Mus musculus: one gene and its partner. The protein of the gene in region 1 binds, or shares a complex with, the protein of each later gene. Links are inferred from orthologs where the notes say so. Each region holds a gene or a part of one and is shown on either strand. Other genes may lie near its edges.

What was found. Proteins that work in one complex are often made in the same cells at the same time.
Region 2: the proteins of Gnai1 (region 1) and Gpr88 are in contact, whole or in part, in a cryo-EM structure (PDB 7EJX), measured with the Homo sapiens proteins. The link is inferred for Mus musculus from reciprocal best matches to the Homo sapiens genes GNAI1 and GPR88. Residues at the interface, in NP_002060.4 of Homo sapiens: Arg24, Glu28, Ala31, Arg32, Tyr320, Asp337, Ala338, Thr340, Asp341, Ile344, Asn347, Leu348, Lys349, Asp350, Cys351, Gly352, Leu353, Phe354; in NP_071332.2 of Homo sapiens: Ser66, Arg138, Leu141, Ile142, Pro146, Ala147, Gln150, Gln154, Ile215, Arg218, Val219, Ser222, Val223, Arg225, Val226, Ser285, Val286, Tyr336, Arg339, Asn340.

Annotation. Positions count from the first base shown.
Region 1 is NC_000071.6:18,353,619-18,363,705, reverse strand, and holds the start of Gnai1 (guanine nucleotide-binding protein G(i) subunit alpha-1), read left to right. Parts: upstream 1-3,292; 5' UTR 3,293-3,536; coding exon 3,537-3,654; intron 3,655-10,087. UniProt on the Homo sapiens protein: Guanine nucleotide-binding proteins (G proteins) function as transducers downstream of G protein-coupled receptors (GPCRs) in numerous signaling cascades.
Region 2 is NC_000069.6:116,247,400-116,257,757, reverse strand, and holds Gpr88 (probable G-protein coupled receptor 88), read left to right. Parts: upstream 1-4,273; 5' UTR 4,274-4,644; intron 4,645-5,025; 5' UTR 5,026-5,097; coding exon 5,098-6,252; 3' UTR 6,253-8,104; downstream 8,105-10,358. UniProt on the Homo sapiens protein: Orphan G protein-coupled receptor implicated in a large repertoire of behavioral responses that engage motor activities, spatial learning, and emotional processing. May play a role in the regulation of cognitive and motor function.

The DNA of each region.
Region 1 (10,087 bases):
AAACCTCCACTTCTAGCCCACCATCCAAAGGTAGAGGAGAAAAGATGGTAAATAGGACAAGGAGATGTGGATCTGTTTAGAAGTAGTTCTTTGGGGAAATTCCAATCTCCTTTTGTCAGAATACCAGCAATCCAGTTCAGTAGTCTCAGGATACCAAACATGAATCAGCAGACGTGGAACCATCCAGCAGAAACTGCTAGGCTTCCAAATCAGCATGGATCAGTGGGAGTGACTAGGATCATCCAGGACACCAGGAAAAGTTCTCTGCTATCCCTCTCTCAATGAAGCAAAAATCAATGAAGACTTGAGACTAAGTGTTGCAAAGCTAGCTACGCAAGCACACTGTCACTGTCTGTTGAGTTCTATTTATACTCTCTCCAAACATCACATATCCTCCCATGAGTCCTGCCTCAGCAAAACAACACGTGAGTCTGCATCACCTGACATATCCAGAAACTTCCATTTCAGTTTAGAGCTATTTCAAACCCTGATGCTTTTTAGTTAATTATGTCCCAATTTGTTTCTTGATGTGTGTGTCTATCTTAGCACATGAGACTCAGCATCATTTAGCAATAGAAAGAAGTAACATTCAAAACCAATAGTAATATGGTAAATCAAAGGAGTCAGTTATAAAAGGCTAGATATTATATGGTTCTTTTTGTTTATGTAAATGTCTAGATTAGGCAAAAGAAGAAAAATGAGATTAGTGATTTTCTAGGGCTGGAAGAATAGACTGGATTAGGGGGAATGGCTAAAGGATATGGGGTTTCTTGGTGGGGCACAAAACATTTCACAAATGGTGTGGTTGTAGAACTCTGTCTCTACTAAGAGCCACTGAACTGAACATTTCAAATTGATAGGTGTTATGGAATTAGTATAGCTGTTAAAACAATCACGAATTTCTGAAGGGAAACGTGTGTTCAGACGTAGGTTTTTAACCTCTGTAATTTCGATTTTACTCTTTCACGTACTCTATAGTAGATGATTTCGTAATGGTTGTTCCAACTCCTTGATAATGTTGCTGAGTCATATTTTGCAAAATCATAATTATGTATATTACTAGTGTGAGTGATGGTTACCATCTCATATCTGAATTACCAATGTCATTCACTTATTAGTATAGTAAGTAACTCATTTGTTTTCATCTAATGCAGAGATTTTTCCTTTTATATCTCTATTACCTAACTCAGAAGAATGTACGCACACTTAGCACTCACTGTAACAAGTCCAACTATTTACCTCAATATTTATAGTTCTTTTTAAACTTTCATTTTAAAAGTTCATTCCATTCATTTCAGTCATCACAGCAAACTTCATTTCAATCATAAAATATTGGCCATCTTCTGTTCACACTTTGCCTATTAATCTTTTAGTTAGATATTCATATGAAACAAAATATTCCCTAGTCTGGACTGAATGCTTATGTCTCCTCAGTACCCTTCGGCTGAAGCCCTAACACCCTGGTCTGGAAGGCAGAGCCCTTGGGAAGTACATAGAGATGGAATCCTGAACGTGGCGGGCCAATATCAGTATGAGAAGAAAGAATTCTCTTCTCTCATCCCTGGTCCTCTTTCCTCAAGAAAACCCTCACTGGAGAGAGAGCTGGATCCATTGGCCCTTTAATCTTAGATTTCCAGACTTGAGAAATAAATGCCTGCTGTTGAAGTCATGTGATCACCATACTTTGCTATGGCAACCAGTTCAGGGCTCCAGTGCTCAGTTCCCTGCCCACCAGCTTCCCTGGAGAGTTCTTCCAACATCCTCTCAGAAGTGAGGATTATTTCCTCATGTCCTTGACGAGCTTTTCAAAGGGAAGGGGCAATTCATATAAGTCTTTGACAATTCCTATACAAGGTGTGCAGCTTCACCATGCCTCAGTCCTGTTTCCCTTTTGGCTGGCCCCACACTTATCTGGCCTGAACCGTGGAGGAAGGACAGTCAACTGATGGCTGCAAATGGCCCAGTCACATTAGATTTCATTAATTCTGGAATTCTTGATGAACTTTTGGAGTGTCAGGAAACACAAAGGAGGTAGAAGGTGACCGAGTACCCTAAAAGTGTGCGGGTTTTGTTCTATTTTGAAAGAATCCAACAAAAAGCGGAGGGAGTTCTTAAGATTGCTTATCTTGTGCCCCGCAGGTGTGACTCTAACAAAACGGAAACCTATAAGCTCTGCTTGCTCTGAGGGACCCAACCTGAAGCTAAATATTCAAATGGGAGCCAGAGACTAATTGCCTAATTTTTATCTCGTCGAGGAATGTATTTTCTTTGCTAGTGGCTTCATCATCTAATTCATCAACATTTCTCCTATAATCAGCAGTGCAACTGACAGGAGAGTCCAACCTTCCACCTATGCTCCTCCCCTCACGCTGGATGAAAAGCCATCTAGTCCTTGGCCTGCCCCTGGAAAGATGGACTGTAGTGTAGATCAACAGCTCATTTAAAAGCAAGGAAGCTAAGGCCTACAAAAAGAAATGCCATGCCTACTGGCACAGGAGTTACAACAGAGCCATAAACCATGGGTAGGCAGCTTGGCAAGACACTTACAAGTGCCCTAAAGGCGATCCATTACCACAGAGGCCGCAGACTTGTTTGTGTGTTTTACTGCTCACGCCATTTTAAAACAATTCTTTGATTCTTTGTCAAACGTTTCTGTCGGATTAGGAAGAAATTCCTTAGAAATGTGTTCCCTTATGAAAAGGGAGGTGAGCATAGATCAAAGGGAGAGCCAGAGGAAAAGAGAAAAGGCAAGGGAGGAAGTGAGCATTGGCAACCCCAAGACCCCAATTCCCGCTTGGTTGCTCCCCACTTCGGGTTTCGCAGGGCTCCATTTCTCGCTCATTTCGCTCTATTTCCCACGGTTCTTTACCTAAGCCTACACATTTTGTAAACCCTTGGGTGGCTGCAGGCTCCGGGCATGCTCAAATGCCCTGGACTGCCTTTCCTCACCCCTTGCTCGCAACTTTGGCAAGCGTCCCACTCGCGCTCTTAAGGGGCAGGTACCCACGGATCCCCCGCAGTGGTCTCCAAAGCGTGGGAGGGGGTTAGTGAGCTCCCAGGCGGAGCTGGAGAAGTCAGCGGCCGCACGGGGCACCTCGTGGGGGGACCTGCAGGAAAAGCTGGGCTCGGCGATCACGCGGGCGCGCGGCGGTCGGAGGGGGCGCTGTCCGACGGCACGTGCGCGGGCGGGCGTGAGCGCGCGCTGGGAGTGGTCGCGGGGCGGGCAGGGGCGGGGCCGCGGCGGCGCGCGGACGCCGAGCTCGCTCGGGCTGTGCGCGGCTGCGGCTCGGCCACGGGCAGCTGCGGTGGCGGCGGCGGCGGCGGCGGCGGCAGAGCCTAGCGGTCGCAGGGATTCGCGGGCGCGGATCGCGGAGTGTCGCCGGCAGGGACGGCCGCCCGAGGCGGCAGCGTGCGGACTAGCAGACCTCGCCTCCAGCTTGCGGGAGCTGAGGACGTAGCGGGGCCGCCTCCGGGCCAGCCTCTCCTCGCTCTGCCAGCCGGCCCCGGCGCCGAGGGCGCGGCGACGCTCGGCCACCATGGGCTGCACATTGAGCGCTGAGGACAAGGCGGCCGTGGAGCGCAGCAAGATGATCGACCGCAACCTCCGGGAGGACGGCGAGAAGGCGGCGCGGGAGGTCAAGCTGCTGCTGCTGGGTGAGCGCGGCCGTGGGGACGGGGCCCGGGCCGGGGGACAGCGGTGAGCGAGCGCGGCATCCCAGTCCCTCAACAGCGCAGGCGGCTTCTTGGCCGCGGCGGTGACTGTCGCGCGACCTCACTGGCAGCCCAGAGTGTGGCGGGGCGGCGGGACGCGTGGGAATCCGATCTTTGAAGTTGAGCTTTGCCCTCCCTAGATGAGGGACAATTCGGGACCACAAAGCCAAGCACCCCCTCTCCACGGAAACCCGGTGGTGAGAGGTGTCGTGCCGCGTTGCGCTTTGCCCACGCCTGGAAAGTGCCACGTTGGGTGGCCTCGGGGCTCTCTTTGTGGGTCCTCTTCCTCTGCGGGGTCTCAGTGATCTTCCTGTCAACTTCATATGGCGACTCAGTGAGTGGAAAAGAGCGCTGAGATTTTCCCTGCGTAAGGACTTGAGCTGCTCTGGAAGCTGGATTTTGCCTGGGTGGGGGATGGAAACCACCAAAGTTGGCTTACGTTTGCTCTCATAGTAGGAAGGGAAAGAGGCTTCGCGGGTGAAAACAGCCCTGACAGGTGCGAAAGGCTCCTCGACCACAGGGTCGTTCCTCCACTGCGGTGTTCGCTCCAGTGAGGTTTGACAGCTGCACACCATGCTTTCTTTCTTCATTCTTAACACTGTTTTGCTAATAGGCGACGTGAAGGTCTTTCTTCCAGTTTTTTTGAACGGAGGAAAAAAAAAAAAGAGTAGATCCGGATTTTGATTGAGCGATATAAGGAAAATATTCACAGGTTATGGTTTTTTTAGATCTGTGAGTCAGGGTTTTTCCTTTTGTTTGTTTTTCTCCCACACTGTAGGTATTTAGGCAGATGATAGATTTCTTAGAATCTTCGTTTGCACTTCCAGCGATTTGCTTGTGTTCTTCTCACAGTTGTGATAAAAGAGAAACATCGCTGCACAGATCTGCTTTTTAGTAAGCTCCCGTTTCATTGGTTTAACGACTGCAGAAAGATGGTGGTTATTTCCTTCTTTCTCCATTACTAGTAGGCTTAGAAGAAGCAAACTTGGCATGACTAAAAGTAATAATGATCTGAGTCATTTTGCAAGCAAACTGTGAAATAACTTTGCATTTTAAAGACCTGGGTGGTGTTTTTCACCCATCACAGCCTCCCCATAAATCTTTCTCTGTAAATAGGATTGACTGAGTTTTTATATTAAAAAGATACTGTCTTTCCATGAGATCGGCGTGTTTTTAGAATATTAGCCACAGAACCATGTAACTTACAATAAACATAAAATAAAGGGATTAGACAGTTCTTTCTCTGTGGCTTCAGAGCACCTGCTTGGAAGGTCTCCTTGGTTGTAATACTGTTCTCAGTTGGAGCTACCATCCACCACATTTAAAGCAGTTGTAAAATGAGCCCTCCCAGTGATAGTGGCAGCTTATCTTTTAATTAGACACCTATGAAAGATTTGAAAAATGGAATTTTTGCAAGCTTCAGAATGCAAGGTATCTCTTTTTATCACTGTTGACGATTTGAAGTTGATAATTCTTTGTTGTTCTCTGTGTGTGTGGAGGTATCCTGTGTGCTGTTGGATGTTTAGCAATGAAGTTGACCTCCACCCATTAGATGCTAATTGCTGCTCACCCTTTCTAATCTCCTAAAATGTTGCCAAACGCCCCCTGGAGGCAGAAATGTAACCTCTGCGGAGAACCACTGTTTTAGATTAATAATTAAATATAGTTGAGTGTGTAACATGCAGCTGAAGTTGATCTCTCTTACCATCTGTGGGGAGTTAATGAGAGATGTACCAGAGTCCTGATTTTCAGAAGAAATTATACAGTTCTTATTCCTCCAAACCAGTGCATGAGAAGGATTCTAAAGTTATAAACAAGCAAACAAAGAAACAGTGAAGGAATTCCTTTAAGTGTTGTTTCTAGCTTTGAGGTTTTGCTTTCATCTACAACTGTATTTTCTGTCGAGAATTCCAGCCCACCCCTGTCTTCCTGTGCACCACTTCATCCGACACCCTAGTTCCCATTTAAGAGAAAAAAAAAATCCTTGTGTACTTATTTCGCAAATCTTAATTCTTGTAATAGTTGAAAATTTTTTCCCCAAGTCAGACTTAGCAGTGAACTATGACCTTTAGTCCAAATTTGGATGTTTAAGGCTGTGTGCAAGTAACTCTATGGTGTCATCCACCTAACTCATGGTAGCTGGTCAACTGAGATGTAAAGTGGTATCTAAGTAACCCAGCAATACCACCTGGACTCCTAGGAGGGTGTCTTCATCTTCATCTTCATCTGTTTAGTTTTGCTTCTCAATAATTTACTTAAAGATACAGCATAAAAACATTTAAAACAGTCTATTTAGAACATTGCATTTTTTGCATGAAATAATGCATTGTTTTAAATATCTGAAGTGAGAGACTCTTGCATAAGATTTGCAAATAATTAGTAACTATTTGGGTGCTGGGTGTGTAGTATTTACTATTTGAATCATAGGTGTTTCCCTGTTCCCTAAGTCCAGAGATTCAAGCCTGCACCAATAGAGAGGACCAAATCTTGTCTTCTGACCTGAAGGGGATCAGGCTGCACTTTTGGTCACTTAAGTATTTCAGTTTAGTTTCCAGCTTTCAGTATATGAATCAGTTAAGATGCTTACATGATCCATGCAGATATTTAGCACTCTTTCCACTGTGTATGGATAACTGTTCCAGAGGAAAATACCTTTTACTATTACATCTTTGAGAATTCATGATTCTAAGGTCAGTAGAATTACAATTAGGACATTGTTCAGTTAGACTATGTTGGACTCCTGTCATTTATTAAATTGCATTTGGTGATGATTTTTTAAGATAAAAGGTACTAGCTTTAAAAAAAAAAAAGTACAGTTCTCAAGAATTCGCTGCTCAGTTGCAATCTCATTGCAAAGGTTTGAGCTGTATTTTCTTTTATTATAGCAGACGGTACTCTATACTCACTTCCGCACACAAGCAAATCACCCCCAGAAGCCGACTTCCCTCCTTAGCATAGCATACTGTTATAGTTATAGGCTTGGGGTGGGGGTGGGGAGTCGGGTGGGGACTTTTAAGTTTTCTGCTGACGGGCATTTTCTGTTGCCCTTCAATCAGCAGTCCTTCCACTGCCTTTGGACACATACTATGACTTGTGTAGTTGAGGAATTCTTGCTTTATCAGGTTTCCATTTTTCATTGCTTTAGCCATTTCCCAGAGCCTTAGTTATCAGAGAGGCAACATGTTCCCTTGGACGAGTCGACATGCCATTTCCCCCTGGGTTGTGTGCTTCTGTGTCCCTGTCTATTTGTGTTAGTAGTTATTCTAGTTGGAGCTACTGGTTGTGTCATTGTGTGCTTTGCATATGTGGAGTTTCTCTTGAATCCACTTCCCGTCCTCCCACTTCTAGCTCCAGGCTCCCTCTGCCTCACAGCCTCCTTGCTGAAGATTTCTCTGCTTCTTCTTGGCCTTTTCCCTTTGCCTCTCTTTCCTCTCGTGCTGTGTGTCAGAAACCGTTCTTGCCTTCTCCATTGCATGCCGAATGAACATCTGTTTTAGACCCGGCTCCTCTCCGCCAGCATCTCAGCGTTTCCAACAGGAGCAGTTAACAGGGATTAAGAATATGTGCGGTTGATGTCTAGTGTTTGGTCTTCTTGACTGCCTGAGTCCAACTTCTGTGAACACACCAGGGGACAAAGTCCTTATGTTTTCTCTGTGTTCCACACTTTCTTTACAGGCCTTTTACTTTGTCATGTGTAAATGTGTGCTAAATTATGTAAAAATATGCCAGAATATATTCTTCATAATTTCCCACTGTCTGTAGGAACAAATAGCAGCCAAACAGCGTTAAAGAAAAAGGACTAGTAAAAATGTGAAAGGACCAAAATGAAGGAATGATACCTAAAATCAAACAGAGTGCTTTCCCACACCAAGCTTATTCTTAGATAACTCTAGTAATCGTTAAAGTGACAGTGCGTTTTGTTGTAGTGGGGTCTACTGTTTGCAGTGTCCTAATGATCCGAGGGCATTTTACTCTTGTTTTTGGTACACGTAGGTCCTCTGCTCAAGTGTTTAGACCATGATATTTGTGGAATGTATCACGGACAGAAGCTATAATGCCTGCCTTATAGGATTTAGTGAACGGCTTCAGAAACAGAAGAGTTATCGTCTAGAGTTTGGGGGGAAATGTTGGTAAAACTTGAAAATATGTATTGTAAGCTTTTGAACCCAGCCACAATCTTAATTTTTCTTTTGTTATTTGTTCTCATTGCCTTGGGACATCTAAGATCAACACATTCATGCAAGGCAAACGAAGTGTGTTGGTCACATTCTTAGGTCACATATTTCTTGGTCACATGTTTTGCCATGCATTTCCCCAGAGGGTGATTCCCTAGGGTCAGGCACTGGTGAGCTCCAGATCTCCGATGGCATTTGAGCCTATGAACGAAGGGCCACCGAGCCTTATCTTGTAGTACTCAGGCTATCTTTTATAATAGTTTGTTAAATGATGGTTAGAAATCTTAATACAGCTAGGAGGAAACAGTTTTAAAACCAGCATTCATTGGCTTATATTAAGTGGCTTCAAATTAAAGAATATTTGATATGGGGCTCTGGAGGGCAGATTTCCCAAACAGGTTTCCGGTGGGTTAAGACGGTAGGTAGGTGAAAGTCCCGAGTCAAGCCCCATCCCTAGAACCTGTGAAAAAGGAAGTCTGTTGTGGAGGTTCTCGGGATTGCTCTGTTCCCTGGCATTCCTCACATGCTCTAGAGCAGTGGCCCTCCACCTTGCCACTGTATGACCCTTTAATATGGTTTCTCATGTTGCAGTGACCCCCCAGCCTCGTCCCGAACCATAAAATTATTTTCATTGCTACTTGATAACTGTCATTTTGGTATTCTTATGAATCATAATGGTAATGTGAATATTGTTGGAGACTGGAGTTTGCCAAAGGGGTCATGACCCTAAGGCTGAGAATTGCTCTCCAGGCAGCTGCATGTCTTAATTAGTTTATAGTAGGCCGCTGCTTACTCAGAGCCAACAGTAGCCAGTGAGCTTTTCCTCCCGTTTCTCTTCTTCACTTCTTACAGCCTTTATGATTTTATCAAGCAAATCTACAAAGACTTATAGTTAATACCTGCAAAGTGGATTTAACCACATAAGGCAACATTCACAGGTTTTCAGGATGGGGCTTGACTGGGAACTTTGACCTTACCTACCATACCCAAGTATGCCACTGTCAGAGCTTCCAGTCTGTTCTGCACCCCATCTTCTCCACTTCTGTTCTTAACAGCACCATGGGAAACCCCAAAGTCTCTTATTGGGTGTGAGTGAGATTCTAGGTATGTTTTGTGCAAAGTAAACAAGTAGAACAAGTTGTCTGTTCTAGATGTAATTATGGGACAAGAGGAGGCCATGAATTCTGAACATCCCACCGTACAACCATTCAAAATGCAGTTCATAGGGATGGAATCCTCCTTCAGCCCTCCCTAATCCCACCAGGTGTCCAGGCAGGGAGCATCGCTGCTGAGGGTCTGCACCAGGAGGTGCTGCATCCTGCCCCTTGGCCATCCCTGCTTCTTCTTGGGTGGTATCATGTGTGTGCAGCTCATAGTTATACCTTCCCCCTTCTTCACTTGATATTAGCCAACAGGCCAAGAGGCAACAGACCATTTCCTTACTTGCTCGTAGAATGTAGATGGTCTTATATCATTATTTCATTTTTTCCCACAACATAATTTTCCCCACTTCCCATAGGATGAAAAAGCTACCCAAACAGAACACACCTATAATACTATAGTAATAATGATTTATTATTATCATCATCATCATCATCATAAAAAGATGAAGTCTTTTCATTTGAATGTCTGAGTTGGGGGCTTATAAGTTTGCTTCTCATAGGACCCAACTCAATTAAGCTTTCAGCTATTTTGACAAGTACCCTGTCTTAGTCAGGGTTTCTATTCCTGCACAAACATGACCAAGAAGCAAGTTGGGGAGGAAAGGGTTTATTCAGCTTACAACTCCATTCTGCTGTTCATCACCAGGAAAGGGTTTATTTGGCTTACACTTCCATGCTGCTGTTCATCACCAAGGAAGTCAGGACTGGAACTCAAGCAGGTCAGGAAGCAGGAGCTGATGCAGAGGCCATGGAGGGATGTTCGTTACTGGCTTGCTTCCCCTGGCTTGCTCAGCCTGCTCTCTTTTCGAACCAAGACTACCAGCCCAGAGATGGTCCCACCCACAAGGGGCCTTTCCCCCTTGATCGCTAATTGAGAAAATGCCTTACAGTTGGATCTCATGGAGGCATTTCCTCAACTGAAGCTCCTTTCTCTGTGATTACTCCAGCTGTGCCAAGTTGACACAAAACTAGCCAGTACAGACCCTTTACTCTTGTCCCTTACAAAATGTCTTCCCCACCTTTCCTCACTGCCTTTAA
Region 2 (10,358 bases), on another chromosome or scaffold:
TTGCACATCATGATTGCTGCCTCTCAAATAGAAATTCAGACATGTTTGTGTTAATTCTGCATGTTCTATTTGGTCTGAAATATAGTTTGTGGGAAAACTTTGAAAGAATCTCCTAGTATGATTTTGTTTTGTTTTGTTTTATGTATGAGCACAATGTCTCTGACTTCAGACACACCAGAAGAGGGCATCTGATCCCATTACAGATGGTTGGGAGCCACCATGTGGTTGCTGGGAATTGAACTCAGGACTTCTGGAAGAGCTGCTAGTAATCTTAACCACTGAGCCATCTCTCCAGCCTCTCTTTGTATGTTTTGTCTCAGGGCCCTGGGGTTAGTTTTGCTGATCTTAAACTCACTGAAGCCATCAAACCTTCACAACGATACACACAGGTGCCCCATGAGTCACCTTGTCACAACAGAAGGCCGGAGCTCCAACCACACTTTATGCTAACCCTGTCAGTTTCTGACCACTTGTTTCTGGAAGAGCCATGAAATCTAACTGTCCACGTGATAGATGCCATCATATCTCTTTCCTCCAGTCACTTCTTCAATCGTATCTTCAGGGGAGTTCATTCTTGAGTTGGGAATCTCACTCCCTCATGAATAAACTCTTTGGAAAACAGCTTACTCCAATGAACATTGCAGTCTGTAGTCCAACTTCCCAACAATGGTGAGCAGCAGCAGCGAATGGAAGTCCAAGGATCTAGCAGTTGCTCAGTCCCACAAGGCAATTGGGCAAAGAGATTGCAGAAGAGAGCGCAGAAGTTTCCTTTAAGCTATGATTTTATTATAACCCCAAACAAAAGAAAACATAAAAATTAAAATATGAATATATAAACTGTTTGATACAAAAAAGAAAACAAAAATTAAAATATGAGTATTTTAATGTAAAAATGTAATAATTGTAACCCATTATATCAACATGTAATGGAAAAAAATCATCATTTCATATAAAACCTCTGAGTAGGCTTGGGCAGAAATGCTCGTGGCTCTAAAGCACTAAATCAGAAAGCTACAGTTGCGGGCATATTTGGATAGAATTCTTAGGAACTCCGAGGGAACGGTATTCATGAAATTGGTGACTAGAGGACAGAAATGAGGAGGGAGTTTAGCTAGAGGGTCTGGGTAGAAGGAAGGGTGGAAGAGAAGCAGGTGGTGGCCTGTGCCTGAGAGTGAGAACCTAGGATAAGACCTGGGTAATTAGCCAGAAAAAAGGGCGAGAGGAGAATGGAGAACAGAGCATCTGGCACATAAGGAACCCATGACACTTGAGTGTTGTGGGCGAGTCCAAGGGAGCAGGGGGGCAACAGGAGAATAATGAGCAGGTGGTAGGTTCCCCGGTTCATTAATTAGAGGCTGCTGTTGACCTTAGCCGAAGCTGTGCTGAGAACTGAGGGCTGTGTGGGTGGACACTCAGTGGGAGAACAGGAAACCGAAGCAGAAAATAGGTGCTTCCACTACAAAAGGGAAGTGAGCTGTACTGTGCCACCCTGAGAAGGAAACGAAGTCCAGGGGAGGTTTCAGTGGGTTGTGGTGAACCCCCAGGGATGCTGAGAATACAGCAGACAGGGAGATAAATGGACAAGCTCCTCTGGAGGAATTAGGAAAGGGACCAATAGGAAATGTTTCCCTAGGAGAAAAAATAAATTCCCAATGGTCATTATTCATTAATCCAAAGAGCATTTAAGAAGGATCTACCATGTACCAGGCGATGTGCTGTGAATCAGAAAAAAAAAAAAAAAAAAACAAAAAAAAAAAACCAAAAAACAAAAAACCACTCCTTCTACATTGTATTACTTAAGTCCAGTGACCTAAAACAAAAGTGAATCTAAATGAAAAAACAAACAAACAAAACAAAACAAAACAAAACCCAGACAAGACTTTGGCCTTCCAGGCTTAGGCTAAATCAAGGAGTTCTGCCTTTGGCAGAAATAAGGCTTCATGGGAAGGAGTCCCTGAGATGGGTCCTTACGACTTATTCCAGAGACCCAGACCCTGGAATTTGAACACAGAATCCCGTTACGACGGAGGTAATGCAACTTTAAGTGTGGTGACATGCTTGCGCTACAGCTGATCCGGGAGGAGGTTCTTGCAACCCTGCTGTGTTTGAGGTGTTCAAGCCTTTAATGCAGAAGACTGTAGGAGAGGATGGGACAACCGTTCCAGGCTACCAATAGGCTGGACATTCGAACCTTTGCCCCAGAAAGACCAAACTACGGCTTCTCTTTCAGTTCTTCCTCTTTCTACTGAAATCCAGCCTGATCTAGTTAAATCCATCAGAGCCTGCTTGCTGGCATCACCAGAGTTCTTCACAGTCATCAACATGACTGGTTTTATTTATTTATTTTTTAAAAAATCAGATTTGAAAAGGAATAGTAAGGGGAGGTATATTCCTCTTTCCCTTCTGAAATAAATCCTCAAGGTTGGACTGGGAGAGGTTCATGACTCATGGCCAGGGACCTCACTCCATGTGAACGAAGGAGGTCTGTACCAAGCAGTGCCAGAGAGGAGACAGGTTAAATGTGTGAACAGGGATTTAGAAAAAGTCCAGAAGGAAAGGGCCTTTGACATCACTGAGTGGACGCTTCTTGCTAGCAAGGCAGGAATAATCTGCCAAGGCTAACTGAAGGATGCCTTTCTTAGAATTCAGGACACCTGGAACTCCACACACCAGTCTTCTCTTTTATGTTAAATTTGTAAGTAAACAACCTTTGGTTGTTGTTGTTGGGGTGTTGGGTGTACCTTTCGGGGAGAAGTTCCCAAGTGCACAGGGAAACCAACACTTGTACCAAAGCAGATTTGAGTCCTGAGTGTGAGTCTCCATGACATCCCATATCATGAAAAGCTCAGAGGTCCTTCTCATTCATCCTATGGAGTCTTCAGGGAAATTGCTTTTCCCCAACACCCACTATTCAAAAATAGGCTTTAAACTTTAGTTTAATAATCACAGCAGGCCTGAATAAAAGTTGCTGAGTGTGTTCTGGGGACAGGGTGCAGTAAAGTGCCTGACAAACAAGTATCAGTCCTGAGTTCAGATCCAAAGTGCGCACATAAAAAGCCAGGCATGGTGGCACATATCAGTAATCCCAGCTCTGGGAGAGCAGGAACAGAAGATTCTTGGAGATCAGTGGCCAGCCAGCCTAGCAAAAGCCGTGCAGGTTCAGAGAGAAAGAGAGAGAGAGAGAGAGAGAGAGAGAGAGAGAGAGAGAGAGAGAGAGGAAGAAGGAGGAGGAGGAGGAGAGGGATCACCACACAGTTCCTACTCAGCACACACACAACTTCCCAGTTGTCATATCTTCCATTACATTGGCTCATTTGTCACAATCGATGAAGCATCCTGACACGTTTACATTGACCCCATAATTTACACACAGGTTCTCTGGGTGTTTATCTAGTAGGTTTGGACAAACGTACAGTGATGTTTTCCACCATCAGAGTACCATCCAGAGTAGTTTCCCTGCCCTGTATTCCACCTCCCGGTCCCTAGCCCCCCCCCCCCCCCTCCCGACAGCTGGTGGTCCCTGCAGTTTTACGTTTCCCAGTATGGAATACAGTTGGGCTTGGGCAGTGCGCAGCCTTTTCAGATGCTTCTTTTGCTTAATAACAAGCATTTCCGGTTTCCTTAGGTGTTTTATGTCTTGACAGATGATTCCTCTTCATTGCTAACTGGTGTTCCATTGTCTAGCTGGACGATGGACTCCATCTTTAGATCGCCTGACTATGGTACTCACACTTCTCTCATCCCGCCGAAACACAAGCCAAGAGGAGAGGTGTCTAGCGATGGGAAAAGGAATTGAAATTATGATTTGAGCTAAGGCTCGCATATTTTCTGTAGCTAATTACTCATGTCCCACTTTGCCAAGGGTGTGTGTGTGTGTGTGTGTGTGTGTGTGTGTGTGTATGTGGCTGAATTTCAATTCAAATGTAAGGTAATTTTCTCTGAAATTGTACTGGGGTATATTTATCTCTGAGAAAAGAAGTCTTACCTCCAGGATGATTCAGATGGAGATGAAATTTTACTCTAACATTTAAAGGAGAGGAAAAAAAGGAAGGAAAGAAAAAAAAATCAGGCAGAGTGAAAAATGAGACAGAATGGAGAGAGAGAGAGAGAGAGAGAGAGAGAGAGAGAGAGAGAGAGAGATTTGTTAACCACAGGATTCTCTGAAAAAGGTATTTTTCTCTTTTACAAGTTAGCAGTTACTGAATAATTCATGAAGCAGGGAAAGGCTGTCTTCTCCCTGGGTGATGGATAACTGAGCAGGAGAGGCTCCAAGTGGGTTTGCCACATCAGCCAGCGCTCTTGCTTGGAGCACAGGGTGCGCTCCTCTCCAGCTCAGTTTCTTCTGCTCTTGTAGCCAGGCATCTTCGCTGCTGCTGCCTGCCTGCCCACCCTTCTGGGCTTGCAGCCTACCGCTTGACTTTCTCCAATTCTACTGCCAGCTGAGGAGACTCCCCACAGCTGTTGGCTCCTGCCTGGGACCATGTGTGGGGATGCTGCACGGGAGAAGCAAGGCGCTTGCTCCTGGCACGGGTCCCAGCTCAGTTTCTCCTGTTGACTTCTGGACCACAGATGCTGCTGCCGAGGAGGTATTTCCTGGCATCTCTCCCTCTGCTATCACCAGCTAAGGACTGGCCCCAAATCAAGGTACCTCTACTCCCTCTCTTTGGCGTTTTTCCCAGCTAGGAGATATCTACTTTCTCTCGGTAAAGAGAGCTCCGGCTGGCAACACACATTCCCAACTCGTGTGTGTGTGTGTGTGTGTGTGTGTGTGTGTGTGTGTGTGTGTGTTTGGGGAAACTGTCCTAGGTGTGGATATGACCTTAGGGCTTCCCTGCTGCTTGCTGAGTGTAAAGCGGACCTTCTCTGTCATCGGAGACATTTCTGAGGCAGGCACCTGTCATCTGCCACCCCCGTTCTCCTGTTCTTTTTCACCTCCCTCCCTTCTCCCCCTCCTCCAGCCCATTATTCGGCTTCAGCCTTTTGTGTCGGTGACAGCGGGCTGAAGAAATGTTTTTGCCCTCCCAGCAGGCAAGTGCCAGGATGGGCCACGCTACACGAAGCCAACGCTAGGGCGCGAGGTGTGAAGAGTTGGCCAGAATGACCAACTCCTCCTCCACTTCGACCTCCACCACTACCGGGGGATCGCTGCTGCTGCTCTGCGAGGAAGAAGAATCGTGGGCGGGCCGGCGGATCCCGGTGTCTCTCCTGTACTCGGGCCTGGCCATCGGGGGCACGCTGGCCAACGGTATGGTCATCTATCTCGTGTCGTCCTTCCGAAAGCTGCAGACCACCAGCAACGCCTTCATCGTGAATGGCTGCGCCGCGGATCTCAGCGTCTGCGCCCTCTGGATGCCACAGGAGGCGGTGCTGGGGCTCCTGCCCTCGGGCTCCGCGGAGCCCCCGGGGGACTGGGACGGTGGCGGAGGCAGCTACCGCCTGCTCCGGGGCGGGTTGTTGGGCCTCGGGCTCACTGTGTCCCTTCTGTCCCATTGCCTCGTGGCGCTGAACCGCTACCTGCTCATCACCAGGGCGCCTGCCACCTACCAGGTGCTCTACCAACGGCGCCACACGGTGGGCATGCTGGCACTGTCCTGGGCGCTCGCCTTGGGTCTGGTGCTGCTGCTCCCGCCCTGGGCTCCTAAGCCCGGAGCCGAGCCACCGCAAGTCCACTACCCCGCGCTCCTGGCGGCGGGAGCGCTGCTTGCGCAGACGGCGCTGCTGTTGCACTGCTACCTGGGCATCGTGCGCCGCGTGCGCGTCAGCGTCAAGCGGGTCAGCGTGCTCAACTTCCACCTGCTGCACCAGCTACCCGGCTGCGCCGCCGCCGCCGCCGCCTTCCCCGCCGCCCCGCACGCGCCGGGTCCGGGAGGCGCCGCGCATCCCGCGCAGCCTCAACCCCTGCCGGCCGCTCTGCAGCCTCGCCGGGCGCAGCGGCGTCTCAGCGGCTTGTCGGTGCTGCTGCTCTGCTGCGTCTTCCTGCTGGCCACGCAGCCGCTGGTGTGGGTGAGCCTGGCCAGTGGCTTCTCCCTCCCGGTGCCCTGGGGCGTGCAGGCGGCCAGCTGGCTCCTGTGCTGCGCCCTGTCGGCGCTCAACCCGCTGCTCTACACGTGGAGGAACGAGGAGTTCCGCAGATCCGTGCGATCTGTCCTGCCGGGCGTCGGGGACGCGGCTGCGGCCGCCGCGGCCGCCACCGCGGTGCCAGCCATGTCCCAGGCGCAACTGGGTACCCGGGCGGCTGGCCAGCACTGGTAACACACCTTGCTTGGAGAGGCTTCCTAAGCCACCTGCCGCACTGCCTCCTTCTTTTGTAAGCTATCCCCAGCCCCAGGGAAGATCCCAGTGGAGAACATTTTGCCTTCCTCCCCAGTGCAATACCAGAACCAAGGTCTTCCCCTAAAGGGAGTCCCAATTGTGTGCGGCCATTGACGTTTACCCTTTTGTTTCTGTGTTTTAAAGACACCCGTGGGTCCATCCAGACACTCAGACTGCAAGGACTTGTAAACTGGCATTTTTAGAGAACCAGTTAATTTATTTCAAGTTTGCTTTTGAAAAAGAGCTTTCATATCATAACGTACAACCCTTCCAACCTCCACCGTCTTATATACGAAGCGCCTTGAGTGTGTGTGTGCATGAGCCAAAGGGAATACCGTTGATGAAGAGACTGTGTGTAGATAGTATCCTAACCACACTTTCTTCTGTTAGAGTTTAGTCTTTGTATATTGACCTGGAAGAGTGAAACCACAGGTGTGTACACCGTCGTGAGTTGCCACTGAGACCTCAGGCCCTTTATTCTTAAAAGGGCTTTTTTTATTGAGTCATTTTTGAAATGAGATTGACTCTCAGCCAGTGAGGAAACAAACCAAATTTATTATTTTACTCTCCTCTCTATTTATTTCTAAGGTGGAAAGCTACCGTCGAGTGTTAAAGCGAAAAAATGTCAAGTTTTGGATTGGTCAGAAACCAGAAATGGAATTTTAAAAGCAAAAACAGGGGGAGCTATCTATTTTGGGTAGCACTTTCACATATTCTGAAGCATGCACACTTCTTGCTACCCACATTTGTAACTGATTTATTTGCCTCTGAGTGTGATTGCAGCTTTGAACATTCTGTACTATAATGGTTGCTAAGGGGAATGACTCCTGTAGTCTCTTTAAAATATCTCAATGCACATGACATAATTAAACACTAATACCATAATTGCATAGCTAATGTTAGCTGCCATTGCATGCTCCTAGATGTTAGAACTTACTGGGCATGTGGTACACAAAGCAATACCCATTAGACAAGGACATTTTACTTCTTCCAGACACCAGAAGAAAAGGTCTTTTAATCATCTGAAAAGAGATGTAGATGAACCCGTGGCTCCCTAGAGTTCTTGTCTTGACCTGGCTTATGAGAAAACTCCCATTTGGGGACTTTATCTCCCAAATGAAACCAATGGTCAGGGTGATAAAATTCAGATTGGCTCCATCAAGTTACCTGTGCGTTTTAGGGGTTAAACAAGCCACACGTTAGGAAGTAACACTGTTTTATGTTGTTCATATATATTACAAAAACATTTATTATTAGTATCATGTCTGTTGAAGATGGAATCAGGCAGACAGTTATGCAGAAGGAGAATATTTCGAATGGGACTCTGTTCTCCAATGTATCAGTTGAGGTTTGCAGTCTTCATCTTTGATTTCCTAAATGTATAGATGCATTTACAATGTACAAAAAACAAAAACAAAAACACTGAAATCGTTTTGTAAAATTAAACAGGGAAGAAAGTAACAGGAGGCCTAGACCAGTCTGTTATCCACATAAAATCTGGGGCCAAATAGCCTCAATTAACTGTGTAATTCAGGAGCAAAGACAGCTTGCTTTGTTGCACTCTTGGACCAAGAATGGTAAGAACATTTGTATTTTTGAAAAAATTGGGAGACACGGGAAACAGATATTTTATAGCAAGGCAAAATAAAATAAATATGTTTGTCACTAACAATACGTTGGCAGTCATGTCATTAACCAAACTGTGTGCATGTGTCATTTTTCTCTTACGAAGATTTCTTCTGTTTCCAGTTTCCTGGATTCAGATATTTAATTAAAGTTTCCATAATGCTTCTCTTGGCTCTATCTCTTCTTTCTTGGGTATCCTCTCTCTGTCTCTGTCTTAAGGATCCTGTACCCGAAGACACTGTTCCAAAACACTACAGATACAGAGCGACTCCTTTTTTGCTGGCTGTAAGTTTGTTTTCAGTTTCTAAAATGCTTTTTACTTCATATAGTTACATAAGCTCCTTACATTGGTCTGGGAAAAGAAATAGCTATGTTTTCTTTCTGTAAACATGGAGGAATGGGTCATAAAGATAACAGAGAGATGGCGATGTTCTAAAGCTCTGTCAACAAGCTCTTCTAGTTAACCATTGTCCTGGTTTCTCATGTTCCCTCTCTGTCCCAATAATGCACCACACATATATAGAGATTTGTGAATGAGACTCTGATACCTTGCCATGTTTCTGGCTAGCACTCCCAGGCTGGCACTGTGCCACATGGGAGGCCTACTTTTGATTAATTTACTAGTAATTAACTCCACAGGACTGTCTCCTTTTAGTTTTAAAGTAGCACTGAAGCATCTAAAAATGCCTGCCTAGGCGCTGCCTGCAAGTGTTGGAGTTACTGCTTTGACAAATTAAATTAATGGAGATTGTGTTCTTATTTAAATGAAACCACATATTATCCACTCAGGAATTTATATATATATATATATCCTAACTGCTATCCTGGGCTGTCCTAATTTACTTTTGTGCTTCTTTTTCTTTCCGTGCATGCCTATTAAGCTGTATAACATCTGCCTCCCTTCTAAATGCATTTCAAGGGCTAAATTCCAGGACAGAATAGGCCCTAACCCCACATTTTCTTCCTTCCACAATGAAGAGCATTAACAAAGAAGAATTCTGCTTGGTACAGGGACATTTGCAGGTGGTATTTCAGGTCAGGTAAATTTCTCTTTGTCTCAGAATCACAGAGAAAAGATTTCCACACTGGGATATTTTCCTTTTCAGAGGGACCCAGCAGAGGATGTCATGCAGAAGAGGAAGGGCAAAGATACTTTCTTTGAATCACTGATAAGGAAAGTTGTTGAAAAGATCTACTTGCCAATAGGGAGTTGGTCTTGTTTGAATTCTCAGTGGAGGACAACCTTGTCCCACTGATGATGACTGCACTAGCTGACGTGTCCCCTTTATTGCAGAGTCTAGAGGTTCAGATGATGGTTGCCCCACCCTCCTCTAAGGCAATCTTAGTGACTGACAAGTTCACAACATGATTCTGCATCAAAGAACATGGAGGAGCTGGGGCAATGGCTCAGCCAGTAAAGTGCTTGCTGTAGAGGCCTGAGGACCCGAGGTCAGATCCTTACAATGCATTTAAAAAGCCAAGCATGGCATGCCATGTCTGTAATCCCAGGGCTGGGAAGGCAGAGACAGATGGAGATGCTGGAACTTGCTGGCTACCCACTTTAACTAATGGGCAAGTTCCAGATTCCAGTGAGAGGATTTACCTCAGAAAATAAAGTGGGAAATAATTGAAAAAGATCCTTGATAGCAGCTTTTGGTTTCTACATGCGCACAGATATTTGACTCACATGAGCTAGAGCTCTTGGTCTATGGGAAGGCGACCTTTCCTTCCTTGGTATTTGACCTTAAGGAACCTCATGCAAATGTGTGTCATTTAGCTCACAGCTCACAGTTCTGCCTGCATTCCTGTCTCAGCCAGATACCTTGTCACAGCTGGCATCTAGTGGTGAACCTATAGGGCCCAGAACATTCCCTGGAAGTGATCTTTGGCTCCTTGGGCAGGAAACTCCTGGGTTCCAGGCCCTGGCATCTGTTGATAGAGATAGAAGTTCCTGACTGCCATATGTCCTTGTGGGATGGGGGAAGGAGGATGGAAGCCCTGCCTTTTAAGTGCCAGACCTAGTTGGAGTCCCAGTTTCGCTAAGTGCAATTGTGCTTTCAGTATTCATTTCTAGGTCCTGTCAGGGCAGCCTTGCAGAGCCTGTCCCACCTATAGGGCCTCCTTACTAGAGCCTCACACTGAGATTCCAGATGCTTCAGAAGGCCTGATGCACAGTTGAAGGTAAGGGAAAGACTGCAGTGGAAGCAGATGTTGGAGACAGATGTCTGGAAGAAGGATGTGATGGTACACGGGATGCCCTGCCCGTTCAGCTGTGCACCTTTGGAATTTTCACAAGGACACATGCCTTAAAAAAATTTTTTTTAGCGAAAGCTAAATAAATAACAAAAAGAAAAAGAGAAGGAACAGTGTAGAAATGAAAGAAGCCAAAGCCTGAGATGCCACGAGGTTAATTACATGCA